Linked DNA regions of Arabidopsis thaliana. The protein of the gene in region 1 interacts with the protein of each later gene in a biochemical or structural test. Each region holds a gene or a part of one and is shown on either strand. Other genes may lie near its edges.

Evidence for each region.
Region 2: the proteins of AHP2 (region 1) and ARR7 form a complex in vitro, tested with the Arabidopsis thaliana proteins (one study listed by BioGRID).
Region 3: the proteins of AHP2 (region 1) and HK2 form a complex in vitro, tested with the Arabidopsis thaliana proteins (one study listed by BioGRID).

What each region holds. Positions count from the first base shown.
Region 1 is NC_003074.8:11,256,881-11,267,527, reverse strand, and holds AHP2 (histidine-containing phosphotransmitter 2), read left to right. Parts: upstream 1-1,965; 5' UTR 1,966-2,119; coding exon 2,120-2,185; intron 2,186-2,404; coding exon 2,405-2,535; intron 2,536-2,615; coding exon 2,616-2,687; intron 2,688-2,770; coding exon 2,771-2,842; coding exon of another isoform or gene 2,843-2,846; exon of another isoform or gene 2,847-2,897; intron 2,898-2,910; coding exon 2,911-2,983; intron 2,984-3,092; coding exon 3,093-3,149; 3' UTR 3,150-3,402; downstream 3,403-10,647. Other genes in the region: UGD2 (UDP-glucose 6-dehydrogenase family protein), read left to right, coding at 1-153; AT3G29340 (zinc finger (C2H2 type) family protein), read left to right, coding at 5,088-5,303, 5,422-6,144, 6,928-7,941; AT3G29330 (zinc finger RNA-binding-like protein), read left to right, coding at 8,475-8,771, 9,379-9,540; PHS1 (Glycosyl transferase, family 35), read right to left, coding at 9,941-10,057, 10,162-10,362, 10,452-10,638. UniProt on the Arabidopsis thaliana protein: Functions as a two-component phosphorelay mediators between cytokinin sensor histidine kinases and response regulator (B-type ARRs). Plays an important role in propagating cytokinin signal transduction through the multistep His-to-Asp phosphorelay.
Region 2 is NC_003070.9:6,570,415-6,581,061, forward strand, and holds ARR7 (response regulator 7), read right to left. Parts: upstream 8,901-10,647; 5' UTR 8,665-8,900; coding exon 8,517-8,664; intron 8,387-8,516; coding exon 8,310-8,386; intron 8,091-8,309; coding exon 8,013-8,090; intron 7,920-8,012; coding exon 7,849-7,919; intron 7,752-7,848; coding exon 7,505-7,751; 3' UTR 7,419-7,504; downstream 1-7,418. Other genes in the region: AT1G19025 (DNA repair metallo-beta-lactamase family protein), read left to right, coding at 1-386; AT1G19040 (NAC (No Apical Meristem) domain transcriptional regulator superfamily protein), read left to right, coding at 6,481-6,999. UniProt on the Arabidopsis thaliana protein: Functions as a response regulator involved in His-to-Asp phosphorelay signal transduction system. Phosphorylation of the Asp residue in the receiver domain activates the ability of the protein to promote the transcription of target genes.
Region 3 is NC_003076.8:13,911,915-13,922,561, reverse strand, and holds the start of HK2 (histidine kinase 2), read left to right. Parts: upstream 1-5,756; 5' UTR 5,757-6,224; coding exon 6,225-6,494; intron 6,495-6,591; coding exon 6,592-6,765; intron 6,766-6,870; coding exon 6,871-7,350; intron 7,351-7,430; coding exon 7,431-7,706; intron 7,707-7,790; coding exon 7,791-7,960; intron 7,961-8,065; coding exon 8,066-8,278; intron 8,279-8,371; coding exon 8,372-8,558; intron 8,559-8,629; coding exon 8,630-8,681; intron 8,682-8,759; coding exon 8,760-8,989; intron 8,990-9,083; coding exon 9,084-9,182; intron 9,183-9,268; coding exon 9,269-9,909; intron 9,910-9,995; coding exon 9,996-10,484; intron 10,485-10,569; coding exon 10,570-10,647. UniProt on the Arabidopsis thaliana protein: Cytokinins (CK) receptor related to bacterial two-component regulators. Functions as a histidine kinase and transmits the stress signal to a downstream MAPK cascade.

The DNA.
Region 1 (10,647 bases):
CAGAAGATCTTTGACAACATGCAGAAACCAGCTTTCGTGTTCGATGGAAGAAACATTATGAATCTGCAAAAGCTAAGGGAGATTGGTTTCATTGTTTACTCCATTGGTAAGCCTCTCGACGACTGGCTCAAGGACATGCCTGCCGTTGCCTAATGATGTTCATTGCTGACTCTTTCGTCCTCCATCATTTGTGCTTTTCTTCTTCTTGTGGTTTGTCTTTAAGACTTGTTATATTTCTTACAATATGTTTGTTATGTTCTCTGGTGTGTGTTTTGTTTTTTTTGGTATTACTTTCATATTTTTTTGGTCGAAGAGGACTTGTATTCGACAATGTCGCTTCAATTTTGTTGTTTCCTTAGAAACTAAATAAATATTGGTTTATATTGGAGTAAAATGTGTTTGTACTTTGTAGTTAATCGTTGAAAGTTTTGCCACTTATTGAGCTTTGTCTGCGAGAGTTGACTCGGAAGAATATTTGCACATTGTTCATAGAGAATCACATGATATCTCTTCTCTGGTGGATTAGGAACCAAACGCATCTTGTAAAAGTTTCCAGGTTGGAGATTCTGATTTCTGAGTGACACCTAACGATTCCATATTTAAAGCTTTATGTTTTTGTATGTCTCTCATTGCGATTGGTATTTTTTGTTTAAGTAAATATGCATAAATCCATTCGTAGAGGCATTCCTTACAGTACTAGTGACCACATATTAACCTTTTAGGTACGCACACCGAAGTTGGCTACATAACTTGGGTGAGTATTCCAATCTGTAATGTGAATAGTTTACCATATCACATATAGCTCTGATACCATAAAAAACTATATGTGAATAATATTAAAAATCTTATACACAAAATTTTCTTTTAAATGGTTAGTCTAATTGTAATTTAAAAATATCGAAATAATAAGTTGCAATTTTTTTTTTTTTTTTTTGGGTCTTTGAAAAGAAAATATAATGTCAAATACTTTAATTTTTCCAAGTAAATCGAAACATAAGATTGATATTTTTCTTTTATATAAGAAAATTAAATTAGATTTAATATTATTAAATGAGTGTTTCATATTATATTTTTCAGAAAAAGAGTTTTTATTAATTAACCAAATACCAATAATTTACTTAAAAACTTGTATTGAATCCAAATGTTTCCCAAAAAAAAAATATTTAATTGGGATTGACAAAAATAGCACCAACAAAATTTTTTCTTCCAAAAATAACAACTTTTTGAAAAATTTCACAAGTAGCTTTCAAAATTTTAATTAAATATTAAATATAAATAATTAATTTTATTTAAATAAATAAAAATAAAAATTTTCCGCTAAAAATTTTTCGTCAAATTTTCTGCCAAAACAATTCGGTAATAAATTTTCCCGCAAAAAAAATTTTCCGTCAAATTTTTCTTGTAAAAAAACTTGAGGAAGCTAACTACGACATTCGTGAGGATTTCACGGAATTCAGGAAAGATTTTACAAAAAAAATTTTCGTAAAATTCTTCCTGAATTTCGAAAAAGAAAAATTCGGGAATTCAGGAAAAATTCTACAAAATTCAGGAAGGGTTACAAAAGAAAAAAATTATAAATTTCGTGAAACCTTTCCTGAATTGCTTAAAATCTTTCCTATATTTTGTAAAAAAAATTCTGAATTTTTTTTTGTAGGTAAAATGTGGGCGGCGTAATTATTTTTGGTGGAAAAATTTTGACGGAAATTATTTTGTAGAAAAATATTGTTGAAAATTTTTGGTATGAATTTTTGTATTTTTTTAAATGTTAGTTGTAATAATTAAAAATTAAATAATTATTTGAGTGTTATTTATGTTCACAAAACTTTTGAATGGTATTTTTATCAAAAAAAACTTTAAAATTATGTTAATTATGAAAATTCTCTATTTAATTTTTTTCACCCAAATAAATAAATACATAAAAATGTCCAAATATTTGTGTGTTTCTCTTTTAATTATTGTTTCCCATTTAAAGTAAAAAAATCTGGTAGCAGCGTTACAATTCGCGAGAAAGACAAAACACAAGTTTCTTCTTCTTGGGATTGGCTATTTCCAGAAATCCAAGTCAATAATCAAAGTCCAAACAAAAAAATCCTCTCCCAATCTCCGCTTCACTCTTCTCATGGACGCTCTCATTGCTCAGCTTCAGAGACAATTTCGTGATTACACCATTTCTCTCTACCAACAGGTTTCAATTCCACAATTCTTCAAACCCAATTTCATCTCTTTGCTTAGCTAATTTAGCTCATATACACACTAGATTGACTCCTATATGCATAGATTCATGACAAAAGTGAAGAAAGATTGAATCTTTATGTAGATTTTTACAAGTTATGATTTTTAGGGATTTGAGTTGTGTAAAGGTTGGAACTTTAGATTCATGGGTTTGTGTTTTTTTTATGTGAAGGGGTTTTTGGATGATCAATTTACTGAGTTGAAAAAGCTACAAGATGATGGAAGTCCTGATTTTGTGTCTGAAGTGCTTTCACTTTTCTTTGAAGATTGTGTGAAGCTTATCAGTAACATGGCTAGAGCTTTGTAAGTTTTTGATATTCTCTCAGCTAGATCATCATTGCTTGTGTTGTCTTAAAGTGTGATTGTGGCTACTTCTATTTCAGGGACACGACAGGAACTGTAGATTTTAGTCAGGTAGGTGCTAGTGTGCATCAATTGAAGGGTAGTAGCTCAAGGTATGTATCATGTCTCGCTTTATATAAGTAGCAGAAGTTGTGTGTTGTTGATTGATGAAAAGCTTTGTGTTGTTTCTATGTAGTGTTGGTGCCAAGAGGGTCAAAACTTTGTGTGTTAGCTTCAAGGAATGTTGTGAAGCTAAGAACTACGAAGGGTAAGCGAGTTATGGTTTTCTCTTGGGACTCATTGGTTGAGTAATAATAGTCTCATGTTATGTTACAGGTGTGTGAGATGTTTGCAGCAAGTGGATATTGAGTACAAGGCGTTAAAGACAAAGCTTCAAGATATGTTCAATGTGAGTGTGAATAGAATCCATCTCTGTTTTTGGCTCTGCTTTTAATGAATCATTTTGGTTATGAGTAATGAACAAATCATTGACATTGTTGTTGTTGTTGTTGTTTCAGCTTGAGAAACAGATCATTCAAGCTGGTGGTATAGTTCCTCAAGTGGATATTAACTAAAGAGACTAGTCCATAAGAAGAAAAAAGATGATGACTTTCTTTCTTTAGTTTCTCTTCTAAATTATTTTGGATTTGGTGTTTGCTCAAAAACTCAATAAAATATGTGCAAAAAGAAACAAAAACAAGTGATGGTTGTTTATAAATCAGTAGTATGTATTGTTTGATCTCATCCGAGAAAATTGAAACCATTGGACTAATGAATGTGATGATAATATATATTGGTTTGCTTCTGAAAGGTTTGGTTTGAGTAAGATATAGTGATTACTAAGTAAGTCTTGACTAGTGGGTGCTTCTAAAAATTGTGTGTTTAGATCTTTTAGTTTCCCAAATTTGCCCATAATGTTTTCGTAATTATCTGAATTATTTGTCTCGAAGTTGACCTTTACTCAAATTAGTAAAAGTTTGGTAGTGACTTTCCAAATTTTTACAACCTGTCTCCTTATCAGAATATGAATATCGTAAACCCTAAAACCTAAATCTAAACCATTACCCATTCGATATCCGAAATGGACATTCTAAGAAAATATGGTAATTCTTTCAGGATAAATCACAAACCGCTTTCGACGAGATTACGGAGCATGTAGTTAATAAACGGGGAAAATGTCATTTAAATCATCACTTTACCATTTTCGTTGGTTTAAATCATGAACTTTGGATCTGGTGAATTAAATCTTTAATTTTATGTTGACTTTCAAATTAATCACAAATTCTTGTTGACTAAGCAAATTGAGACACAAATTCTTTTTTTCGATGTCGTCAATCGACCTTAAGACGAAATATTACTTTGAATTCGAAAAAGAAGAGAAATTCCAAAGAAGATGAGAGATTCTGAAGAAAAAGAGAGAAAAAATCAAAAATTTTGATTAGAAAGATTTCTAACGATGTGCCTTAATTGGCTTAGTCAACGAATTCGTGATTATATTGAACGTCAACATAAAATTGAGGATTTAAATCACTAGATCGAGATTTTATGCTTCAAAACCAACGGAAATGGTAAAGTGATGATTTAAATGACATTTATCCCGTTAATAAACCAATGAAACCAATAATTGTGGGTTGATATATCTTGAACTATTAATTTGGAGAGATTTGTATATAGAAATTTTATTTTAGGGAGAAAACTAGGTATAGAACTTTAGTTTTAGAGATATATAAAATTATAGATCGGAGTCATACTTTGAACTCTGGTAATAGTTTGGAAATAGACCCTTTTTTTTCCGAAATGGACATTTAAGAAAATGTGATAATCATTTTGGGATACATCACAAACCGGTTTTAGACCAACGTAGATTACCGATATAAAAGATACCAATAAAAAAATTAGAGATTAGGGAGCACGTAGTTAGTTGTAGACGCGAGTGTAGGAGATAACTATCTCTTTGCAAAATAGCCTTCATAGCTTCCGCAACAAGTAACTTTTTTCATCAGTCTCTACGAGTTAAAAGCTGAGCGAGAGCTAGACTCTCTGCAGATCAAGCTCAGCGATTCAGGCCCTGATACCTAAATTCAAGTTAGTGTTTTGCTCTGGTAAGCTGATCAAAGCTCTCATCTTTCTACATTCTTTTGATTCTTCCCCTATTTTCTCGAAAAAAGCTCACGATTTTTTACAATTTCAGTGTTTTCTTCTCACTCTCCTGTGTTTGATTCTTGTGGGTTTAACGTATTTGATGCTGAAACAGGTTCAATCAGATGAAAGTTTTCATCTTGGTGGCAAAATCCATAACCTTCATGTATGTGGTTACCAGAGGATTGATTCTGGTGTTTACTCGGTTTGCTAAGGATTTGGGGGTCTTTGTTCGGTTTCAGTGTCACTAAAAGAAACTTCTTTTATGACTGAGACTATTGTGGAGCATGAGATGGAAGAAGAAGCTGCAATGAGCTTGGTTTTGTTTTCAGAAAAAGTATGGCTTTGAATTGTCTCCTCATGATGATGATTCCATGGATTTAGATGGTGTTGAGTTGTTACTAGACTTGAGGGAAATGGTTTCTCAATCGGGTTTCGAAAAGTCTACTACTTGCAGTGGTGTTATTGCTCTGAGAAGTAATCTGCAGAGTAAATCAAGTCACAAATGCAAAATATGTGGCAAGAGTTTTGAGTGTTATCAAGCTCTAGGTGGTCACCAAAGAATTCACAGACCGATTAAAGAGAAACTAGTGCGTAAAAGGGAGTATACTAAATTTGATAATTCATTGTTTGAGTCCTTAGATGCTATTTCAAAACCATCAAAATTTGAAGTCTCCCAAGAGGAGAAGATGTTAGATTGTGTTTGAGTCGAAACAAGAGTTCAGTGAAGTATATCCTCGGAAGAGTAAGTTGCAGAAAAGACCTGAGAGTAGTAGCTCCTGCTATGAATGCAAAGTATGTGGCAAGATTTTTGGGTGTTATCGAGGTCTAGGTGGCCACACGAAACTTCACAGATCGACTAAGAGGGAATTAGCGAGTACTCAAGATGAGAATTCACTGTTAGACTCATCAGAAGCTAAGAAGATTGTTTCACAACCATCAAGCTTTAAAGTCTCTCAGGAGGAGAAGTTCTTACATTGTGTGGAGTTAAAACAAGACTTCAGTGAACCGCTTTCTCATTCGGGTGCATTACCATCTACTCTGAGAAGTAAATTGCAGACAAAAACTCAGTGGAAATCAAGCTGTCATTGCAAAATATGTGGCAAGAGTTTTGTGTGTTCTCAAGGTTTAGGTAATCACAAAAGAGTTCACAGAGAGATTAGCGGGAAATTAGCGTGTAAAAGGAAGTACACTGAAGACTATAATCCATTCTCTGACTCATTAAAAGCTAAGAAGATTGTTAAAAAACCATCAAGCTTTGAAGTCTCTCAGGAGGAGAAGATCTTACATTGTGTTGAGTTAAAACAAGACTTCGGTGAACTGCTTGCTCACTCGGGTTTCGACAAGTCTATTAGTTGCAGCAAATCGATCAAAGTGAAAAAAGTAGCGCGTAAAAATGAGAAAACTGAAGATAGTACTTCACTGTTTGGCGTGATTGACTCAGAAGCTAGCAAGTTTGCTTCACTACCATCAAGCATTGAAATCTATCATGAGAAGACCTTCCATTGTGTTGAGTCAAAACAAGACTTCAGTGAACTGTTTTCTCGCTAGTCTACTAGTTGAATCTTTTTCTCTTCTAAGTACAGAAGTTGCAGATGTATACTTAACATTTTCCTCTTGCTTGGTTCAAATACAGTTTCTTTGGTTAACTCATGTTTTCAGATACAGAACCAATCCAAAGTTCAAAATTGATTACTTAAACCAATTAATTGGTTTAGCGATTAGGGAGCACCAAGTTTATGATACGCGTGAGTGTAGGATATAACTATCCTCTGTCTTCTTTCTTTTGCATAATAGACTCATTAGCTTCCACAACAAGTAAATTTCTCCATTGTTGTCTGTCAATAGCTTAGATCGAAAGCGATACTACAAACTCTGCGATAAGTAAAAAAAAAGTGTTCTTTAAGGTCTTCAGCTCTTCGGATTAGGTCAAAACGTGTTCTTTCTCTTCCTGAGTCATAAAATCAAGTGAAGATTTTGTTCTGGTAAGCTAATCAAGCTCTCTGCTTTGCGATTATTCTTTCGTTTTCTTCCACATTTTCCCGAGAAAATAAACTGGAAAAAGCTTTAGACTTTTTCAAGTTTCTAGCGAAACATGATCACTCTCTTCTTAGAAATGTCTGATTTTGTGTGTTTCTTCGCGATCTTTGTCTTCTTCTCTGTTTTCTCGAGAAAATCAAACGGAAAAGCTATGAGCTTTGTTTCAATTTTCAGGTTTTTGTCGGCGAAATGTCTCAGAGACTTCATGGTTGCAAAACATGCGGGAGAAAGTTTGGAACTTTAAAAGGTGTGTATGGTCACCAGAGGATGCATTCTGGTAATCACAATAGAATCGAAGATGAGAATGGTTTGGAAAGGATTTGGGGTCTTAAGAAGAAGTCTAGGGTTTGCTCTGTTTCAGCTTTTGATCGATTCAAAGGATCTTCTTTTATGGCTGAGATTGAGAAACATGAGGTGATTGAAGCTGCATTGAACTTGGTTATGTTGTGTCAAGGAGTTTATGACTTTGCTTCTATCAGTAATTTGCCTCTAGGTGATGGTTTCATGGATTTAGAGCTTAAACCTTGTCCTTTGAGAAGGAAACTACAGAAAAAATCTCGCTCCAGTTATAAATGCAGTATATGTGAGAAGAGTTTTGTGTGTTCTCAAGCTCTTGGTAGTCACCAGAGACTTCACAGATGGAAACTAGTGCCTAAACCTGAGTACATTGAAGATGATAGTTCACTGTTAGACTCATCAGAAGCTAAGAAGATTGTTTCAAAACCATCAAGCTTTGAACATGCTCAGGAGGAGAAGATCTTACAATGTGTTGAGCCGAAACTAGAGTTCCACGAACAGCTTGCTCACTCGGGTTTCGACAAGTTTGATACTTGCAGTAAAATCAGGTTCAGTGCATTACCTTCTCCTCCAGAAGCTAAGAAGATTGTTTCACAACCACCAAGCTTTGAAGTCTCTGTGGATGAAAAGATCTTATATCGTGCTGAGCCAAAACTAAACTTCAGCGAACCGCTTGCTCACTCGTGTTTCGACAATTCTAGTAGCTATAGAAGCATAATATGTGGCAAGAGTTTTGTGTGTTCACAAGCATTAGGTGGTCACCAAACACTTCACAGATCGATTAAAGGCCAATTAGCGGGTACTGAAGATGGTAATTCACTCTCTGTGACTGACTCAGAAGCTAGCAAGATTGTTGCACAACCATCAAGCTACAAGTCTCAGGGGATATAAAAATGTCAGTGCTTTGATGTTTCCAAGTCTAACCAAAGGTTTTGAGGTTTCACATTATACCAAATATACTACAGAGAAAGGATAGATATGTGTTCATCTATATAGAATCTTCAGATTAGTTGAATAATAAGGAATGTGTATAGTTGTGACATTTTCCTCTCTATTGTTTCTACTTTATTGCTAGTGTTACAGACATGAAACAGAAGGAAAAAAACCAGGTTTTGTTATTAGTCTGAAACTATCATTGAGCTCAGTCTCAATTCCACCTTCATGTCTGAGATACAGAACCAATCCAAAGTGAAATTGATTATTTATTGGTCCACTTAATCCAAAAGGACAATTTTTTCGATTAAACCGGTCCGACCGGTCTGGTATTTTGTCCAATCCAAAGTGAAATTGATTATTTATTGGTCCACTTAATCCAAAAGGACAGATTTTTTCGATCAAACCGGTCCGACCGGTCTGGTCTTTTGTCCGGTTTTCAATAGAACTGCAAGAACTAAGAAAAGATCAAAACTTTGATTTTGTTTTCCATGGATTACAACAGTCAGTGGCAACAACCGCCGGCACCGGCGATACAGCCACCGGAAATGAATCAGTCGACGGCGGTTGATGCGTATTACGCTTCCTATTATGGTTACTACGCAAATCCAAACCCTAGTTCCATCTCCGATCTCCAAACTTATGAATCCTCAGCTATTGCAATTCCACCACCGCCTGGAGTTGTTGATTCTACGGCGGCTGTGATTGCGACGACATCATATGTGACTGTGGATACGACGCCGTATTATACTTTAGATATGAATGCTCAGCAGAACTCGGCTTGGCCTGTAAGTTGTTTCAGAAATATGAATGCTTTGATGAGGAAGCTATGAATTTTTCTCCGTTAAGTTGTGGGAATGTGGTCAAGATGATGTCTTTTATAGATTTCTCAGTGATTCGTTAGGATCTGTGTGTAAAGTCAGGTCCTTTGCAACAAGTTCTTGATGCATTAGTGAATTTCAGTTGCTTTGTGAGATTGCTCTGTTTTGCTTAGTCATCAAGTTTTAGTCTCTAGTAATTTTTGTTTGCACAAATCTCAATGTTTAGATCCTTCGATCTGTGAAATCAATGATTATTTTATGTATATCTTACCAATTCATTATGATCTGTGTATAAAGTCTAAGAGTCTGTCTTTTATGTATGTCATACAATGTTTGCTTTGTGATTGCTCTGTTTTGCTCTCTTGAGATTGATCTGTTTGCTTCTCTCGGTGTGCAAAGGATCAGTTTATACTTCAAATTTGTTCTAGAAAGGCATCATGTAGACTAGGTTACAAAACTACATAAGATCTGAAGAAATATTTTCGAAATTTTGTTTTCTTATGCAATATTTACTACCTTCCTGGTGTGCTCAATTTGATATTTTCTTGAACTTTTGTAATTGAGGATGAATCAGGATCTTATAGAGCAGTCTCATAGCATATACCCGCCTGATTTCTCTTGGACCGGCCACATAGTTCAAGCTCAACTTCCTGGAACGAAGAAGGGAAAGGTTGTTCGCTCTGCTCACTGTGAAGTTTGTAAGGTTGACTGTAATGGTCTGTTTACTGTCGTCTAACAAGGGTTCCTCTTTGTCTGGACCAACCGTTACAGCCCCTTTAATAGGACCACAAGAAAATCCGTGTACAAGCAAGGCTAGGAAGAGAGGTGCGGATTCAACAACAGAAGATCTAGAATCAAAGAGACGGAGAGTCGTGGAATGCGGGGTGTCAAATGAGTCAATTAGATTGTGTAGAATATGCAACGTAGTTTGTAATAGCGACATTGTTTACAACGATCATTTAGCCGGTCAGAAGCACGCCGCTAAGGCAGCGAAGGCCCTTGTAAATTACATTGACTCGTGAATCTTATTTCTTACGTTCATTGTATTGCATCATTACATGATTTCCTTATTACCTTGATTACATTAGAAACATGGGACGTACAAAAGAGTTCTTAAGGTAGACTTGTCTCAAGGCTCATGGAAGTTCCACTTGCTTAATATTCCATATGTCTTTGGCGTATTCGTGGATCGTCCGGTCACTGCTAAACTTGAATGAACCTGCTGTGTTCATTATTGACATTCTCGTCCATCTCTGTAATCATTTAACAGCAATTTCAAGGTTTGATATTTGAGTAAGTTTCATATTTTAGTCAACATTATTAGCTTGATGTTCAAAGAAAATGCATTAGTACTTACTTTCTGGTCTCGGTATGCCTCGTCGACTTTTTCTTGGCATTCGATGTAACTAGGAAAGTCTTTGCCAACTAGGAAGTAATCCGCTCGTCCAAAGCCTTCGTTTCCTTCCAAAGAGCCGATTAGTTCATCATAGCTATTTGAGCCAAAGACGCCGCTTCCAACGAACTTCTTGACTTCTTCAAAAGTAGGATCGGGAACAAACTGGAATGCCAAGAGCCAGGTCAAAAATCAAATTCTTGTTGATGCTAAAACAGAAGCATGGTAAGGTTAACTCTTCAAATAGTATATACCTTTCCCTCTGCTCTCTCCTTCCTGAGGTTCACAATCTGATCAGCTTTGGCACCAAAGAGGAAGAAATTTTCTTCTCCAACTTCTTCTCTAATCTCGACATTCGCCCCATCCAAGGTTCCAATCAAAACGCAACCGTTCATCGAAAATTTCATGTTGCTTGTCCCACTAGCTTCCATCCCAGCAGTACTGCAGAGA
Region 2 (10,647 bases), on another chromosome or scaffold:
AGAAGCTTCTGAGTTTATCCCCTGAAAATAGTCTTCCTGTAACTCTGTTTGGGAGAGCAAGGCAAAGTTCTCAGGAATGTGATCAACTACATGAGAGAAAAGTCATACACACTCAATGTGTATACACCAAAACCTCGCCGGTATTGGAAAAACTGAATGTAAAGGTAGTAATTGAGCCTTTACAAGATGATACTAAAGAAGAAACAGTAGAGAAGGAATCTTGTACAATCTTTTCTACTTCTACCTCAAAGGAGACTTGCAAGGATCTTAGTGGGGATTTGAGAAAGCTATACAGATCAATGAACGCACCTGTGCCTCGGCCGCTACCATCATTGATGGAGCTTATGAACGCTAGGAAACGCTCTCGGAATCACTTGAGTTTCTAGCTTGCGGTTGACATCTTAGCCTGATCACATCATTACAGTCTCAATCCCTTATAAATTTTTATACAGTGGAGAGAATACAGTTTGTAATGTTTTTTATACACAGAAATTGATACATTTTTTTGAATAAAAGAAATTGTTGATAAAATCTATTTCAGTTTTTGATAAAAGGTTGATAAAATCTTGCACCTCTATAAATACCACGTTGATTCTTCCAATAACACTGCCGCAGCATAAAATAAAGAACCCTACCTTTTTTTTTTGTTTTTGCTAAGAACCCTAAATTATTCGTTATGAGAGGTCGGATATATTTTCGCCATGAAATCGACCGTAATCCTGAAGTCTCAGAAGCTGGCACAATCAACGCATGTGTAACCATGGTCACGATGGATGAACCTGTACGAACATTCCCGATTACGTGGCTCGCGGATTACGTCATGGAAGATGAAGGATTTAGTAGTAGAGAAGACATTAATGATCTTTTGATGAAAGAAGGTTTCCCTCTCGAACCCGATTTGTTTATGTTGACCGAAATTGCCCGCAAAGGTATCATTGAAGTGACTTCCTCACGTGATTATAGCCCAGAATATGCTCTGTTTCTGAATTTGACTTTTCGTGATGGTATTTCCTTTGATGAGATTGTAGAGGATGACGACACCAATATTTATATACCCTATTATTGTATACCCTTTAGACCCGCAAGCGAGCTCGCTGTCAGGTCGCTGACCAAAAATATATACTACAAGACTAGCTCTATAGTTGGTGATAAGTGCATAATTTGTTTGGAAGAGTTTAAAGAAGGAGCAAGAATTGTGACTTTACCATGTGGACATGAGTTTGACGATAAGTGTATTGTAGACTGGTTTGCGACCAGTCACTTTTGTCCATTGTGTCGCTTCGAGTTCCCCACGTGAAGATCGATGATGGGATCGAGGATTAGGTGCTAAGTTTTCTAAACTCTAAACGTTTTTTCTTTTTTTTTGTTACAAGTAAATTCTTAAGTTTGTTGACACAGAATTTGTCTAAAGTTTTGCTCTCTTAGATTTTTTGCCAAATCAATAATTCTTCCTACTTGACTCGATTTCATATAAATATTTGCTTCATTATTCAGCGGATTTTGTCAACCATGAATTCTAACTCGTAAGACAAATATTCGTGTTCTGCTTTTTTATGGTCAGGTTCAGCTTTAAACTCTCGGAAGGTGAAAGTTGCATGGTCTGAAGTATGTTCTCCAAAACAAGAAGGGGGTTTGGGATTACGCTCGATTGCAGAAGCAAATAAAGTCTGTGTTTTGAAGTTGATTTGGCGCATTCTCTCAGCTAGGCGGTCGCTTTGGGTGGAATTGGTTAAGAAATATCTTATTCGAAGAGGCTCCTTTTGGTTAGTGAAAGAGAATACAACTTGTGGTTCTTGGATATGGAAAAAAATTTTGAAATACAGAGACACAGCAAAGAGTTTCTATCGAGTGGAAGTTAGAAACGGCGAAGCTTCTTCTTTTGGGTTTGACAGATGGAGTGAGATGGGTTGTCTTTATGACAGATTGGGTGCAAGAGGGTGCATTGATTTGGGTAGCCCGATGACTGCTACTGTGGGTGAGGTAATGGCAGGGGCAAGAAGAAGAAAATATCGGGTAGCTATTTTGAATCAAGTCGAAAACGAAATAGTAAAACAGAAGCTCATAAGATCGAATGAGACCGATGTAGCATTATGGAATGGAAAGCATGACCACTATCGAAAAGAGTTTCACACCAAAGAGACGTGGCTGCAGATTCGCACCGCAAAGCTATTGATGGAGAACTACAACGGAATCTGGTTCAAGCACTCGACTCCGAAGTACTCACTCATCACATGGCTCGTTCAAAAAAATAGAGTAGCTACGGGTGACAAGCTGATTAAGTGGAACCCGCAAGTAACTCCAAACTGCATTCTCTGTCAACACACTTTGGAGACATGGGATCATTTGTTCTTTATGTGCCCTTACTCATTTCAGGTCTGGACGAAGCTCGCAAAGGGAATCCTCCACGCTAGCTTCACCGCAAACTGGACGGAAACTCTCAAACTGATACATGACAATAGGCTAAGCAAGACGAAGTGTTTCATTGTAGGGTACATATTTCAAAATGCAATCCACTCTCTTTGAAGAGAACGGAACAACCGACGACACAATGAAGAACCATCCCCATGCGAGAGACTGATAAGAGTGATCGATAAAATCATTCGGAATCGTTTGAGCACAATTCGGAGTAGCGGAGATATGAAACTTGCAGGAGGTTTGCAAGATTGGTTTGAATCAAGACAAGGAGAGAAGATTTTTTTGTTTTTGTTTTGAATGATGTCTTTTAAAACAAGTATGTATAAGTTGTAGAACAATTTTTTTTTTTTTAATATAATTTAATATTAAATTCAAAAAAAAAAAACTAATATTTTGTAACTCCCTTTACTCACTTATTATTTTATTTTTCTTACTATTTTGCAGTTCTACAATATTACTAATTGGAATATTATGTGAGATTTCATTGGCTATATACTTTTGTTATATAATTTGCACCGGGTTAATACGGTACTACTACTATTCGATCAATAAAGCAAGTAGTTTACCAATTATGATACTATATCTAGTTGATTTAGTATTCTTTGTTGATGTATAAATATTACGTTACCACTATTTATCGGGTCTCTCCACCTTAGTTTTCTCTCGCTCCGGTGATAGTGTGGTTGGATTCCGGCGAGCTTCTCTTGTGGAGGCAAATCACGAGATCTTTTTGGCTCTCTGGTTTGTTCTTTGCGGTTAGAAGTGTTGTGGTTTGTTATTGGTGGTCAACATCTCTCCTCCATTGGTGGGCTGTAGAGGGTGGCAGCTTCCTCAGCCATGGTTATGGTTTTCCCGTGACCATTTTTCTTCGTCCCTTCGCCTCGTTTTTGGTTGCTTTTAGGTAGATTTTTGTTGTTTTTGGTGTTGTTGGTGTCGGTTCTTTTTATGTATGCGAGAATATGGGTGCATTGATAAGGTTAATAGAGTGTTGAATTTATGGCAGCAAATAGGTCTAAGTGGCATCGCTATCTCATTGAATTAGTGAAAAAGTTCATGATTGCTTAAGTATTTTTGCGTTAATTCTCGGAGAAGCTATAGACTTTTATCACGAGGTTTTGAGGACAGCTTCAAATAGATATGCTCGTGGCAACTACGATGAGAATTCCGGTTATTCGGTCATGTGACAACCACGCAAATTTCTGAGTTTTGCAGGCTCAGAATTGGTATTTCACCTCGTAACTTATCCTTGAATGCCTAGAAGCAAATTGTAATGTTGTATTTATTATTTGGAGACTGCTTTAATCAGCTTTTTGTCAAAAGTCAAAAATGATATAAAAATTAATCTTTTGTCAAAAAAAAATTTTACACCAAGTCTCAGGTTCGATTTTGCAGATTATTGATGCATAACTTATCGTAATCTATATCGAGTACTATAATTAGGTCACCGTTGTGGTCTCAAATGAAGCAGAAAGAGTATGTCCATCATATATCATATATGCATAATCGTTTGTCGTGTATCCGAGTGTTGCGAGAAGAGCTGAATGGTAGAATCGTTATCTATAAAAGTTGTTCGTCATAATCTATATTGCAGGTTATCATCAAAATATTATTAGACGAGATATATCTAGATATGATGTTATAAATGACAGAAAAAGGAGAGAAAAAATCTAATTATTTTTAGGGTAATATTAGAAAGTAGAATTGAAAAGAATGTAGTAACTAACCATTGTTAATTTGTATGTGAGTAAATAACCTTATGACGGCATAAGAAAATACAAAAATATCCTTGCAAGTTGAACCAAAAGCAAGAGTATGAGAATAACATGATATTTATAAAAAAGGTGACATTTTATAATATGTTATGAGAATAAATAATGTGTTATATGAAAAACTAGCATGTTGACAGAGAAAGATTTCCAGTTATCACGTGTAATTCGAAAAAGTAACATGATACAAAAGAAAATAATATACAATTTAAAAAGAAAACATAACGATGAAGATTCCAAGAAAAAATCAAAATCGAACAAAATAAATAGCACGATATTTATCAAAAAAGTGACATTTTATAATGTGCTATGAGAATAAATAATTTGTTATATGAAAAAATAGCATGTTATTTGAGAGAGATTTTCAATTATAACGTGTAATTCGAGAAAGTAGCATGGTAAAAAAGAAAATAACATACAATGTAAAAAGAAAACATAACGACGGAGATTCCAAGAAAGAATCAAAATCGAACAAAATAAAATGAGAAATCTTCTGCAAATTGAAGGAGAGATGATCCGTCAATATAAATAACGTTTAGCAGCCTAGATTTATCGAAAAAGAGACTGATGGTTGTGATGGTGGAAGATGTGGTGGTTGTGGTGGTGGAAGAAAGAGAGATGAGTGGTGGTTTGTTCGGATTCATCAAAAGTTTTTCGCCATGGAATCATCTAAGTGTTTTGTGTGATTTTGTAAAATAGCGTGTAATACATATAAAATTCGATAATGGGTATAAAAATAATTACAAGTGATGAAAGAGAGTGTCCTCTGATACCATAGCTACTTTGTTAATTTTTTTACAATTCATAGTTATTTTGTGCATATTCTCTTATTTTTATCTATAAATGATTAAACCAGAAAACATGTCATAACATTTTCTTAATTTGATTTTCAGGAGAATTTATGAACTTGCCCATCTTTGTGGGATTTCCCAAAAAGAGGCTTTGAGTTAAAGGTCCTAGGAAAAATAATCAGTAATAGAACATGCTACTAAATATTTTAAAATGTAAAATGTGAAAAAATACTAATAGATTTCTTACCAAAAAACAGTGGTGCTCTTTTGTTTTTATTGATTTTTTTTTTTAGTGAATTACAGCCCAATAAAGGAATAGCCACTTCGATAGCTGGGATTACAAAATTTGCCGGAACGCGGAGACATTCCGGCGAAGCTAATCGGGGAAAAGGAAAATCTTTTAAATTATATATTTTTATTAAAAAATCATCTTCAGTAAAAAAACAATAAAAGGTTTCTATGGAGGAGACATTTTTGAAAAATAGTATTAAAAAGATGCATTTTTTTTTTAAAAAGTCTTCCTTCAATGTGTGTTTTCAAAATAAATCCAAATATGTATTACATAGTCTTTGAAATACCTAGGAGTCCGATGATGAGAAAATACATATCCTAGAAATATATATAATTTCGGAAATAAAAGTCTTAAATATGATATACAGTCCTTTTAATTTAACAATTGTGAAGATGTTTAAAAAATTATAATTTTGAATAAAATACAAATGATAGTATTAGTGAAGTCGGCGAAGGGGGATTTATCTTTAAACACATTGTAATTGTTATTGTTGCGTATCCGTTGGCAGCAAGAAACAGAAACACAGAGTGAGTCCAAGATCGCTTTAGAGGAACGCTTGAAGAAACCACTGAACATTGATATTAATTATCAAATATTCGAGTTTCTTCTTCCTGCATTCAAAATTCGTCACCAAGATTGCAATTTTCTTATCATCTTCGAGCGTTCATCTCTGTTAGATTATCACGGTTTGTTTGAAGTCTGTTCTCTCGTGGAAGAAATTGTCGATCTCTCTGTTATCCAACTCTTTGTCGCGTTTCTTTCAGAATTTCTATATCTGTTGGGTCTCTGTTCTCTACTAGAAGAAATCGTCGATCATTGATTCAGGTAAGTTCTCGTTCTTTGTTATCCAAGTTTCTGCTTCAAGCATTCATCACCAAGATTCCAATTCGTTATTGGGGTTCTTGCAGAAACTTCTTCGAACATTCATATCTGTTAAGTTTTCACGTCGTTGGGTCTCTCTGTTAATCTGCTAGAAGAAATCTTCGATCATTGATTCATGTAAGTTCTCGTTCTCTCATAATCAAGTTTCTTCTTCTTCAGCATATATTCGTCTCTGTTACACTTTCACACCGTTTCTACTGCTAGAAGAAATCATATTCATTACCATGATTCCAATTCTTTTACTGGGTTTTCTTTTAGAATAATAGATCACTGTTTGTTTTTAGAGATCGAGTTTGATGAATTTGGTTTCTCGTTTCTTGGATCAGAAGCAAAAATGTCAGAGGTGTTAACACGCGGGTTTCGATTTCGCCCAGCTGATGAAGAAGTGACAGACTACCTTATGCGGAAGACACAATCGCCGGAGTTCAGCTGCTTTATCAAAACCATAGACTTGTACGACAAGGATCCGTGGGTACTTGGGCATGTGAGAGATCCGTGTTACAATCACTATGAATGGTATTACTTTGTTAAGAAAAACCCCCTCGGGAATGAGTACTTAGATAAGCCTAGATTGAACGGGTTTGAACATCCACGCTTGAAATGGGATGTGTTGAAGCAGATACATGATGCTCTGAGTTCTGGTCAGAACGTCCCACCAAGTGTCTTTACTTACGGATTCCGATTTCATCCGACTGATCAAGAGCTACTCTCTTTGTACCTCACTCCAAAGGCCCATTCACCAGACTTCAGCTGCTTCATAAGAGAGAGAGAGAGCTATATGCCATGGAGCCATGGCTTCTTGAACATGTTAGATCTCCTTTTTACAAGGACAGTGAATGGTACTACTTTGTGAGAAAGTGTTCGTCTCGTCGTGAAAAGCTGAATTTGATGTTCTACCTCAGGGGCAAGAAGAAAACATGGAGGGTCAATGGTGTTGTTACACAAATCATAGATAATGACATAGAGAAAAATGTTCTGGGAACTAAAACAAGATATTCTTTCAATCTCGATGTGGGGCGTGTCCACTCAATGACCGGGTGGAAAGTAGAAGAATTCCAATTGTCTTCGGATCCTGTTTGGGCGGTTTGCAGACTCACTTACCTGAAAAACGATTCCTGCGTGATTGATGATAGACCAATACTTCCGGGAGAAGAGCATCCTAAGCTTGAGTTGCAAGCATTGAAGAATTTACATGAGGTGTAAGTCAGTGTGAACCTAACATTTGATTCTTTTCTCTTTTTTGTTTTGTTTTGTTTAAGCAACATCATGAGTAGTGTGATGACTCTCTCAAACATTGTCTTTCTTGAGGAATATTAACAGAATGGTTTTGCTAAGGTCTTGGCCTCTATACATATAATTCAAAGTAGAGAAAAAAGGTTTTCAGATTCTGATTTCATTCGTTTTGAACATGAAGAGTCCTTGATAGAAGTATCATCATGACTTGATGATGATGTATCACTGTCTTCTTGAAGCTTTCTCTTGTTAGAATGGCTTAAGATTTTGCATTCCTCAGCTTCATTCCTCATTATAAGTTGTTTGATTCGCTTTACATCTGCTAGCTTCACCGGTTTCAACAAGAATTCCTCTGCTCCTTCTTTGAGACATCTAAAAACAAGAAGAAGAAGTCGATAAGTTTAGATCACAGTGTAGACACAAATATGATCCCATCTGTATCACTACACATTACACAATCAGTACTTACTCTTGTATACGAGGTAAGATGTTCTCAGATGACATAATCACTACTGGTACTTCTCTGAATGCTGAAGATTCCTGCACATATCAATGGAGTTTTGTATAAGCAGCATTAAAAAAGCTTTGTTTAAGTCTTTCTCAGATTGGTAAATCCATTATTATTGTTATTACCTTAATCTTTTTAAGGAGATCATATCCTGAAAGTCCTGGCATTGAGTAATCCGTCACTATCAAATTCACCTTCAAATCCTGTTATGATGAAAATCACAAACAAAATCAAATCTTAATACCAAAACACATAAATCACTAACTAGACTAGTTCATTTCTAAATCTCATTTGATCATAAAGACAAGAAGAAGCAATAGCCAAAGCCAAAGTTGCAAAGGTTTCACTCCTTCGGTCTTTCCTAAATATACAAGAGTTCTTCTCAGTAGATAGCAAAAGAGGGAAGATTTATTCTTAATTACCTTAAGATTAGAAGCCCCTTTGCCTCCATCTAAGCCAAGATACTGCAAAGCCCTAGTTCCACTCTCTACAGTCGTCACTGAAATAACAAAAAAAAAAAGACACTTGTAACTAAAAAACAGAGGAGAGTTTGTTAATGAAGAAGAAAAACAGAGGAGAGTTAAAACCAACAAAAACAGAGCAGAAAAAGATTGGTTTTGAGTTTTTACCTTTACAAGAAGAGATTCTAAGCAACCTCTCGATGACTTTACGATCCACAATACTATCATCGACGGCAAGAACATGCAACTCCGGAGTAGTAACAGTCAAATCTCCACCGGCGGGAATCTCCATCCTCATGACCTCACCAACCGCCATTGTCAAACTCAGAATAAAAAAGAGAGCAGATTGGTTCCAAGAAGAGGAAAGCTTTGGATTGAAGACAAAGGAAATGAATGTGATAAAATGAAAGAAGAAGAAGTTAGGTTAGGTGACATAAATAAGAAGGGAGAGGTGGTGGGGTTTAATAAGTACTAGTATAGTAGATAGAGAGAGATTTGGAAGATCGGATCTTGCGGGGTAAGATCTTTGAAGAGGAAACAAAATCTTAAAAATGGGTCAAGTGTTGATGTTATGTGTTTGGGAAGTGTCAGAAAACACAAATAATCAAATGTGTCTTCAAAGGTCAAAATCTTTGGGCACCGAATCTTTTTTAAGATTTCAAAGATCTTTGTTTGGTCTGTTTCTTTCAATCCGACAGCGACTACTCCCTCGTGACCTGGAACTTTCCTTCTGCTTTTAGTAATTTTATTTTAGTTTTACCTCTCTCTCTCTTCTTTTTTCTTTTTCTTTGCCAAGTCGGCTACTACTTTGCATTTTACTTACATATCAATCAATGATCTAAAACCGGTGGTTATTGCTCAATTAATCTACTTCTATATTCATTTTAACTTCAACATTGTATTTTGTATTTTCCTATACACGTGATTCGTTTATACTCTACTAAATTTTATTTATGTGTAATGGTATGATGGTGATACTAATACAATTTAATCCTCTTGTTGTCTTTTTTTTTTTCTTTTTTAATTTGGGTAAGAAGTATTTTACAAGGTTATCTTAATTTAATTTTCTTTACGTCAGTAAGGGTTATTATTTTATTTAAAGACAAAAGGGACATTTTTTATTTTTTATTGTCATCGTTTTCAGTTGAGTTTCCTTTATTAAATTGATTGAATTTTGTATGCAATAAAGGCACTCTGTTTAGTGGACCATTGTGTGTGATTTGTGAGTCTCTTTTGCTTTTGGACAAAATCTTGAGAGAAAAATATGGACAAAGTATTGCGGGTGGATCCTTTTGTCTCAATCATAACATCTTCTAAACGAATTGCAAGAGGACTAAGGCAATAGTACATGTTATTTGGTTTCAAATCAATTAAAAAACGTATATTATACGATCCCTAAATAAGTGTCAAACATGAAATTCCTAAATTAAATTGGAGAAATAATACCAGGACAACAGCCATATCATATAAGGATCTCTTTGCAGATTTAAAAGGTTTTTTTTTTTATTTTGCAACAAAAGGGAATAGTTTTGTCATCATTTCATTTAAGTTGTTTAGTGATTTTTTTTAGTTGACCATCATTGTGTGATTTTGTGAGTCCTTTTTGGACAAAATCTGGAGAGAGTAAAATCTTCAAAAGTTGTGGAGGAGGATCCTTTATAGTTTGTAACATCTTTTAGCCGATTGTGAGAGGACATTGACAAAAACATTTTGTAAAGAAAACTGGTTTCTTAGCATTAATTTAGAATCTAGCAAACTTTTTGTAACGATTTGATAGATATCTACAAATATCAATGTTGAGATCTACAAGAATCTAGCAAAAACATGATGGTCTTCACACCTAACACTTACGAAAAACATTATTTTGAAAAAAAAAAAAAGAGTCAGTCATTTGAAGAGAAAATTATTACAATGTTGATCCACATGTCTAAACATTTGATGATCGTGCCAAACAAAACATTGGTGATAAGAACATTACTGAAAGGAAAAGGAAAAAACCATCAATATGTTTCACATTTTCTTATTTTCATTGCAATTTATATATGGAACAAACTTGCTTTCAAATGTTTTTTTCCACCTAGATTTTAATGTCTTATGTTTCAAGTTATCAAGATCTTTGCATACATTTTGAATAATAAAATAAACAAATCAAGAGACAGTCATCCATTTGCTCCGTACCTAAGATTTATGAAAAGAAAATCCTAAATCCAATTTAAAAAAACGAACCACAACCACCAAAGTCTTTCATGTATTCAGTTATTTTTTAGAAGTCAATAATTTGATTTTAAACATAAACGAA
Region 3 (10,647 bases), on another chromosome or scaffold:
TCACTGTCGCTGCAAGAGACAAGAGTAAGAGCTTTATATTACCAATGTAACGGTTGTTGACTCAGTGTAGAAACCCAACTCTATATTGAAGATTATTATGTCAGGAACTATATACACAGGCAAGCCTCTGTTCGTTCATTGGAGCTGTTGTATTAGCAATGTTGAAGAATCAAACATAGTCTGACTTGTTGCTGTTTGTTATTACGATTCTCTATTTCCTTCTTTCTATATTAACCTTTAGTATAAAATGTAGCCAATGTCATTCTGCTTTTTACTTGTCACTTTTGCTTCAGAAAAGTTTGGATGATGCTACATTTTGAGTTCCTTTGGTTTCATCAGTTGGATTGCAAAGATATTTGTTTCAGATGAAGCAGAAACTTTTGTGTGACAACTAATATAGTTTCTTGGTTATGTTAACCCGGTAGGAGATTAAGACAAAGAAAGGTGAGCTCTTGTGTTTAAGGTATTTAAAATCTTATTAAATAAAACATGATTTCAATGTTAGTAACTGGCATTATCGTAATATCTATTGATTAGGTTTTGATAAATAAAAAATTATATCGTTTTTCTGAAAATAAAAATAAAAATATACAAATTAAAAGAAAATTATATAACAACCAGAGTTAATTTTTAATTAATTTGTGGTTGTAAAAAAGGGTTATGTACACAAAAAACTCTCAAACTCATCCATTTTTGCAACTATACCCTTCATTTTGCAAAATAATCATATCAAATCCAAAATAATACGCAGTATAATTCTTTTTAGATATTGTCAAATTTTAAAATTTTGATAAATAATATATCAAATTGAAGCCCTCGAAATGAGGAGTTCACCTATAACTTCAGAATTTTCAAAAACAAATGTATGTGATCATGAGGAGATCATCTATAATGTTGACAATATATGTAAAGTTGCAAAAATGGTCTATATTGCCTATTATTTTGCATTTCATAGGATTATTTTGCATTTTCTAGACGTGGAAGATAAAGTTGCAAAAATGGACGGCTTTAAGAGTTTTTTTGCACAAGGCCCTCACAAAAATATATACAATAAATTACGATCCTAAAACTAAAAAATAATATATATATTTTTTAAAAATGTAAATAAAAGTAATATAGTAAATTACTAATTGTAAAACAAAAAAGAATTATTAAAATAACTAAAAAGCTTGTTACATATATTTGGGCTTCTTTAATCAATTAGTAATATGTGAGATCAATAGATTTTTTTTTCTTTGTTTTTGTAATGTTTTTAACTTAATTTAATTTTCTTTGTAAATTATAATTGTAGTATTCTTAGACAGTTTATTATAATTTCCTTTTCATCTTTGAATTAAGAAAAATTATTATATTATGATCTTTATAATTTTCTATTTTATTTTAAATATAATATTTGTAATTTTATATTGTTGATATATGCAAAATTTTAATTATCTTGAATTTTTAATAAATCCTCCAAAACTTGAAGAAATTGAAGAAAATAAGAGAGGCACCAGTCTTCACTAATGAATATACATCATTACTCACCATTTTCTTTAGATTGGTTCTCAAATTAGGGGATGGTTCTGGAAAAAAAGAGTAAAAAAATATTATAGATAACTTCGAAAACAAGACGTGTATCTTACGTACCAAGAATTTTGGATATCGTCGTCTTTGAAATAAAATCCGTAAATCCCAGACCAAAGAATATTCTATATCTTCATATTGTAAAATATTGGTGAGATAAAAATGATAAACATTATTAATTATCAATTCAGATCTCTTAGGTGGAAATGGAATGAATACATATTTAACAACTAAATAATATATAAGAATTAATGAAAAGAATAATGAAACTTGATATGTAAATACGAATGTTGTCCAAAAATACAAAAACGATTAAATGAAAAATAAAGAGCTATAGAGGGTAAAAAGGAAGAACATAACTTGAGATATTGGAGTCAAACCAGAATTTTTCAAACCAAATATTCCAACTAACTCTAACTAAATAGGCATGCCTCATCCAAACACAATAAAAAAAAAGTTATAAGGTCATCTGCATATATACTGACCATTTTCTATAGGTTGATTCTCAATTAGGGGCCTAGAAAAAGAGATTAAAAATATTATAGATATTTAGAAAACAAAACATATAACTGTATCTTGCGTGTCAAGTATTGATATTCTTGTGTCAGTTATTTTAAAATGATTATCCAAATGTTGTTTCATGTGTTAGTTTATATGCCCTATAGCATTTACCAGTATGTCATTGTATTTTTAATCAATATATCGGTTATTGTACATAATTGTACGGAACCGCATTTAAATTTATTGATTTTGTTAAAATACACAAACTCTATAATGACAACAACGTTTAGTTTTATAAAAAGTAAGGGAAGTTTGATATGACAAACCAATTAGCAATCCTTCATTGTTGAAGGTGAGATATCGCAGCTGCCTAATGATATAGAGCTGCAGGACTTCTTGCGCTAAAACTGTTTCTGCTAATGTGGGGTGGTGGGTGGCGATAGTGATCGAATGAACTAGTTATCTTCCAATAATCTCGATCGTGAAAATTTTAATCTTTTTTGTTTCAGCACAAGACTTTTATTACGTGAAACATTACTTTCATACTTTGTTGGCAATTGTGAGTCTTCGGGTGTATAACATATCTTTAATAAAACTGTTTTCATGGCTTTATCGTAGCAACTTGACGTCCTAAGAGGGTCATTAAAAGCCGTCTATGAAGTAAAGCCGTAAATCCCAAACCGAATAATATTCTACATGTTTATATTGCTTATTGTTTTTTAATAAAAATAATTGTCTCATGCTATTATTTGTCATTTTCTATTTTGTTCTAAAGTCTAAAATATTGGTGAGATAAAAATAATAGATAATATTTTTTTTAGACTAACTAATTATCAATTGAGATCTCTTAGGTGGAATACATATTAAACAACTAAATAATATATAGGAATGAAAGAATAATGAGGTTTGATATGTACATACGACAGTAGTTCAAAAATACCAAAAAAGATCGATTAAATGAAAATAAATTGTTATTTAGGCAGAGCCGTACTTCATGTAGGAAAAAGACATTTGTCTTAGGTCATACAAAAATAAACAAATAAAATGCCACATTTATTTCTGAATTACTCAGTATTTATTTTTATTTAGCGTTTTAAGACTTTTGTTTTGGAAAGAAAACTCATCAATAACATTTATGGAAAATTTTGTTTGTTTTTCCTTTACATTAACTACTAAATCTTGTTTGTACTGAAATTGTTTCTTAAATGAGCAATATATATATATATATATATATATATATATATATATATATATATATTATTTTTCTTAACATTCAAAAAAAATCTCAAAAATAGAATGTGTGAGACTACAATTTTAGAATATGTCTTAAGCCTCTATTGACTTTGGCACGATACTGTATAAGGGTTTAGATATTGGAGTCAAACAAAAAAAAATCAAATCAAATATTTCATCCAACTCTAACTAAATAGGCATGACTAATGCAAACACAATTTAATAAAAGTTATAGGGTCATCTTTGTCTTTGCTTCGTTGGTCATCTTGAGAACACGGTAAGATCACCTCAAAATATACAATTTTGGTCAATTTCATGTATTATGTCTGGTTTCAATTTGGGTGTAGACACAATACTACAATAGCGATTCCATTACAAACACTTTAACGAAAAAATCAACTTTATTTTCTTCAATTTATTTAATTTAAGCACATATATATATATATATATATATATAAATCCTGGTTTTCTATCCTACTATATTATTTGGGAAGTACATTTTAAATATAACCTTATTTTTTGTAAGTAATTACATATGTATGCCATTAGAAATAAAATTTTAAAGAGTAAATTAATTCATTTCTTTAAAAATTAAAAAGTCAATTTAATTAATTAAATTTAACTCAAAAACGAAATACATTATTAATTTCCAAAAAAGTAACCAATTAAAATCAACAAATTAGATTTGATATCTAAATTATCATATTAATTTTTTATTAATTATTATAGTTCACCTCTCATCTTTATATGATTTTATTTTTGCAAAAAAATAATATCATCGTTATAAAAAAATAATTAGAGTTTTTTTCGCATATGCCACAATTTAAATTTAAAAAAAACAAATATAAACTGTTCAATACATGAAAAAATACTATAACGGGTCAAAAGTAGATTTAAAAAAAAATTTTACTGAGTACTGTGTTATAATTTGAATATTTATATTCAATTTCATACATATTATTTTAAAATTTATAATTTTATATACTAAAATAATTAATAACATATTAGATTTTTTAATGTGTATGATGTGATTCAATTTTTAATACAAGTTGGAAAATCCTAGAATTGACGGGTTTAAATCAATATTAATACAAGATGGTATAGTACAGGTGAAACTCTAAAATTAACAATCAAAATACAAGTATATAATTTTAAACATTAAACAATATAAATAATATCAACAAAACATATACAACTAGCAGTTTACTATACATTTAAAATCAAATAAAATAATATCATATATTTGTAATCAACTTTACAATAAAAGTTTTTAGTTTAACTAAAATATAAGCCTACCTGCTGTATAATGCAAGTTAAAATTATAAATAAGCAGATTACCATCACGATGGATGTACCTTCTCACATACACACCTATCAAAAACTTAAAACCTTTCAAAACCTCTTGGTATATTCAAATTAGGATTCTTCATTCATAGAATCATTATTCCAAGGGTTTTGGGATGTCTTATGAAATGATTTTGGCAGAAGAGGATGTAAATTTTTTTGAATAAAAGGTATTCAACAAAACATATGTTTTATTGGGATTTTTTAGATAATTAAATCAGAGAATAGGGCTGGGCATATGAGTAACCCATTCGAGTTCGGGTAGAACCCGTTCGGGTTTGGGATTAATGGGTATATGATTTACTACCTAATAGAATAATTCTAAATATTCGGTTCGGGTCGGGTCCAGTTGGGTTTGGGTCAGTTTGGATAAAAAGTTTCAGGCCCTAAAAATACTCAAAAAAATAGAAACGAGTATTTTGTATGTAGATAGTGCGTCTCTAAACAAAAAAAACTTTTAAATTTATTAAGTTTTAATAAATTTAATTATATTTGAATATATTTTACTAAATTTTGACAAATATAACAAATAATTTTGATAAACATAACAAACATAACAAAGTATACAATGTAATTTATACAAAATATTAATGCCCGTGCTATACAGCACGGGTTATGATCTAGTCCTAATATATTTTCAAAGTCAAATACAATTTTAAACAGAACTTCTTACATAAAAATAATCAGAATCATAAATGTAACTGGGAGACAAAGATACATAAACTGATAAAAAGAAATAAGATGTACATATAGAATCAAATCAATACCCACTTCTCGTAAAACCCACTCATCGTTATATTTTATACAAGATAAGATAAGACTTAAGAGTAGATGTTAAACTATGCTAATGAAGCAATTTAAAAACACCAAAAAGACCAAACAAAAAACAAATAACAATGAGTAGGTTTTAGGAGAAGCATGTATTGATTCTTGGTATAGTTGAGTTTATTTATATTTTCATTAGCCAATCACTTTTTCTAATTTAACTAAAAATGTTATAATACCTTCCCCACCTAGATGATGAGATAATCATGGACCCAAAAACCTCAGTTTTTAAAAATGTTTATTCACCAAAAGACAAAAACAATAATAATAATCAAAAGTAGAGTAAAAGAAGAGAGAAGTGACATTCTTTTTCTTTAGCTCATAATTTCTCTAACAAATGCTTCTTTTATCCAAACTCTGATCATTGAGTCCAGTTGGGTAATGAGAGACACCAGCTGGGTTTCTTTTGTTTAAGCTCACAAACATCTAAAACAGAGAAAGCTTTGTCATTTTTCTTTACCCTGAAACCATGAAAGAAGATAAAGCTTTGTCCTTTTTCTCTTTTCCGTTTCTTTACTCTCAACAATGTCTTCTTTCTCCCATTGCAACAACCACTGGGTTTGGTTCATCTTGTCCTCTTGCGTCTTAAGTAAGAAAAAAGAAAAAAGCTTTGCGTTTGGGACTATGTCACAGCTTCTTGTTCTTCTTGTGGATGGTTTCAAGAACTCAACTATGAGATTGTTGTTGATAGAGTTTTAGTTTTGGGTTTGAAGAGATCTGAATTTCTTCAGCTGAATCTGAGATTAGGAGTCGAAATGTCTATAACTTGTGAGCTCTTGAATCTTACTTCAAAGAAAGCTAAGAAGTCGTCGAGCAGTGACAAGAAATGGCTAAAGAAGCCTCTCTTCTTCCTGATTTTGTGTGGCTCTTTGGTAATTGTTTTGGTTATGTTCTTACGGTTAGGTAGAAGTCAGAAGGAGGAGACAGATTCTTGTAATGGAGAAGAGAAAGTGTTGTATAGACATCAAAATGTCACAAGAAGTGAGATTCATGATTTGGTCTCTTTGTTCTCTGATTCAGATCAGGTAATTGCATGAATTGACTTGTATTTGTTGAAATTGAGCTTTTGAATACGCACCAGATTTGCCTTAAAGTGTAACAGTTTCTCTGTATTTGTTGTAGGTAACATCCTTTGAATGTCATAAGGAATCAAGCCCTGGAATGTGGACAAACTATGGTATTACATGTTCCCTGAGTGTGCGTTCTGATAAACAAGAGACTAGAGGGCTTCCCTGGAATCTTGGCTTAGGACATTCTATCTCATCAACATCTTGTATGTGTGGTAATCTTGAACCGGTAAGATAATATTCGATTCGACAACATGTGAAGGAAATGCTTTAAGATTTGGTGTTTAGCTAGTTCTCACAAAAGTTTATTGTGAATGTGTTTGGTTATGAGTAGATTTTACAGCAACCTGAAAACCTTGAGGAAGAAAACCATGAAGAAGGGCTGGAGCAGGGTTTGTCATCGTATTTAAGAAATGCATGGTGGTGTCTAATCCTTGGTGTGTTAGTGTGCCATAAGATTTATGTATCTCATTCTAAAGCACGAGGTGAGAGGAAAGAGAAAGTACATCTGCAAGAGGCTTTAGCTCCAAAGAAGCAGCAACAACGTGCTCAGACTTCTTCTAGAGGGGCTGGAAGATGGAGGAAGAATATCCTTCTCCTTGGTATTTTAGGAGGAGTTTCCTTCTCTGTTTGGTGGTTTTGGGACACTAATGAGGAGATCATAATGAAAAGGAGGGAGACTTTGGCAAACATGTGTGACGAACGAGCACGTGTTTTACAAGATCAGTTCAATGTTAGCTTGAACCATGTTCATGCCTTGTCTATTCTTGTATCTACATTTCATCATGGTAAAATCCCATCTGCCATTGATCAGGTGATGTTTTTTTCTTACTGCTAAATACATTTTGTGTCTCAAGTTTATGTTTAAATCATCAACTTCTGTTACATTTACAGAGAACATTTGAAGAATATACTGAGAGAACAAACTTTGAGAGGCCACTTACTAGTGGTGTAGCGTATGCTTTGAAAGTCCCACACTCAGAAAGAGAGAAATTTGAAAAGGAGCATGGATGGGCAATAAAGAAAATGGAAACTGAGGACCAGACAGTTGTACAAGATTGTGTTCCTGAAAACTTTGATCCCGCACCGATTCAAGACGAATACGCGCCAGTTATATTTGCTCAAGAAACTGTTTCCCATATTGTATCGGTCGACATGATGTCTGGAGAAGTCAGTAACGTCTAAAAGTTTCTTGAACTATTTTGCCAAACCAATGTCCTTAAAAGAGAATTCAAAAGTCTAACTATTTTGCAGGAAGACCGTGAAAACATCTTACGGGCAAGGGCATCAGGAAAAGGAGTGTTAACATCTCCATTTAAGCTTCTTAAGTCAAATCATCTTGGTGTTGTGTTGACCTTTGCTGTCTATGACACGAGCCTACCGCCTGATGCTACAGAAGAACAGCGTGTTGAAGCAACTATTGGGTACTACTTCTACTTAAAATGATTCTAGGACTGAAGAAATTGAACCTATGTAACAAAGAATGATCTCTGGACCAGAAAATATTAATAAGATACACTTAAAAACAGGTACCTTGGTGCATCATATGATATGCCATCGCTGGTGGAGAAACTTCTTCACCAACTTGCCAGCAAACAGACAATTGCTGTGGATGTTTACGACACAACTAACACTTCAGGTCTAATAAAAATGTATGGCTCAGAAATTGGGGATATAAGTGAGCAGCATATAAGTAGCCTTGATTTTGGTGATCCATCAAGGAACCATGAGATGCATTGCAGGTTAGTTAGCTCTAACTGTTATGGTACATTTTTATAAGATATGTTTCACTTCTCTGTTTTCTGAAGTATGAAAGTGGCATTTTTCATTTACAGGTTTAAGCATAAACTTCCCATTCCCTGGACAGCGATAACACCGTCGATCTTAGTTCTGGTTATTACTTTTCTTGTTGGTTATATTTTATATGAAGCCATCAACCGAATTGCGACAGTTGAAGAGGATTGTCAGAAGATGAGGGAACTCAAAGCTCGTGCTGAGGCCGCTGACATTGCAAAGTCACAGGTGATCTTTGTGAATCATATAGTCTCAAAAGCTTTACTTGTTTTTTCACTGAAATGCTTCTTATTTTGCAGTTCCTAGCAACTGTTTCTCATGAGATACGGACTCCGATGAATGGAGTTTTAGGTACTTTTTCTACTTATCCTTGGTCAATATTGCATGTTCTCTTAAAATCAGCTGAAACGTTTAAGCATTTTGTTACAGGAATGCTGAAAATGCTGATGGACACCGATCTTGATGCGAAGCAGATGGACTATGCGCAAACTGCTCATGGCAGTGGGAAGGATCTTACATCACTAATAAATGAGGTTCTTGATCAGGCAAAGATTGAATCCGGAAGGCTCGAGCTTGAAAATGTGCCTTTTGATATGCGTTTTATTCTTGATAATGTTTCATCTCTCCTCTCTGGCAAGGCAAATGAAAAAGGAATTGAGGTATAATTATAAACTGCATGACCTTCTACTTTCTTAATGTTTTCATATGGCAAACAAATTCCATATGTAATGAAATGTTGACTTCTTGTTACAGTTGGCCGTTTATGTTTCTAGTCAAGTTCCTGATGTTGTAGTCGGTGATCCGAGTCGGTTCCGGCAGATCATTACAAACCTGGTTGGAAACTCAATCAAAGTAATTTACTCCTTACTTCTTACAGAACAACAGGCTTCACGAATCTCTACTATTACAGTACTCATTTGTTATTTACTTAATAACAGTTCACACAGGAAAGGGGACACATATTTATCTCAGTGCACCTTGCAGATGAGGTAAAGGAGCCTCTTACTATTGAAGACGCAGTGCTAAAACAGCGACTAGCTTTAGGATGCAGCGAGTCCGGTGAGACAGTTAGCGGGTTTCCTGCGGTAAATGCATGGGGAAGCTGGAAGAATTTCAAGACATGTTACAGTACTGAGAGTCAGAATTCTGATCAAATCAAATTGCTAGTTACAGTGGAGGACACTGGAGTTGGCATACCTGTGGATGCACAAGGCCGAATCTTCACACCTTTTATGCAAGCCGACAGTTCCACATCGCGGACTTATGGTGGAACTGGCATAGGTTTGAGTATAAGCAAACGTTTGGTTGAACTCATGCAAGGAGAGATGGGGTTTGTGAGTGAGCCCGGGATAGGCAGTACTTTTTCATTTACTGGAGTTTTCGGGAAAGCAGAAACAAATACGTCGATTACTAAGCTGGAACGATTCGATCTAGCTATTCAGGAGTTTACAGGATTGAGAGCATTAGTTATTGATAACAGAAACATTAGAGCAGAGGTCACCAGGTACGAACTTCGGAGACTGGGAATATCTGCAGACATTGTTTCAAGTCTGAGAATGGCATGCACTTGTTGTATCAGGTACTTTACGTACATTAGTGTCTGTCTGTCTTTAGAGATTATAGTGAGTTCACTAAAAGCGTTTTATTGTTCTGGAATCTTTGCAGCAAATTAGAAAATTTGGCTATGATTCTAATAGACAAAGACGCCTGGAACAAGGAAGAATTTTCAGTACTTGACGAGTTGTTTACCCGAAGCAAAGTAACCTTTACAAGAGTCCCAAAGATTTTTCTTTTGGCAACTTCTGCAACTCTTACTGAGCGCAGTGAGATGAAGTCTACTGGTCTCATCGATGAGGTGGTGATAAAGCCTCTTCGGATGAGTGTCTTAATATGTTGCTTGCAAGAAACCCTTGTCAATGGCAAGAAGAGGCAACCGAACAGACAGCGAAGAAATCTTGGACACTTGCTAAGAGAAAAACAGATTCTGGTTGTGGATGATAATCTTGTGAACAGACGAGTTGCAGAAGGTGCACTTAAGAAATATGGAGCTATTGTTACATGCGTTGAGAGTGGCAAAGCTGCATTGGCAATGCTTAAGCCGCCTCATAACTTCGATGCTTGCTTCATGGATCTCCAGATGCCTGAAATGGATGGGTAGATAACTATTTTTCAATCTTATCTCTTCAGCTTGTTCATTTCTTGGATGTCGTCCTTGGTAACTTTATAATTTTTTGCGCAGATTTGAAGCGACAAGGAGAGTCCGTGAGCTGGAGAGGGAAATCAATAAGAAAATAGCTTCTGGAGAAGTTTCAGCTGA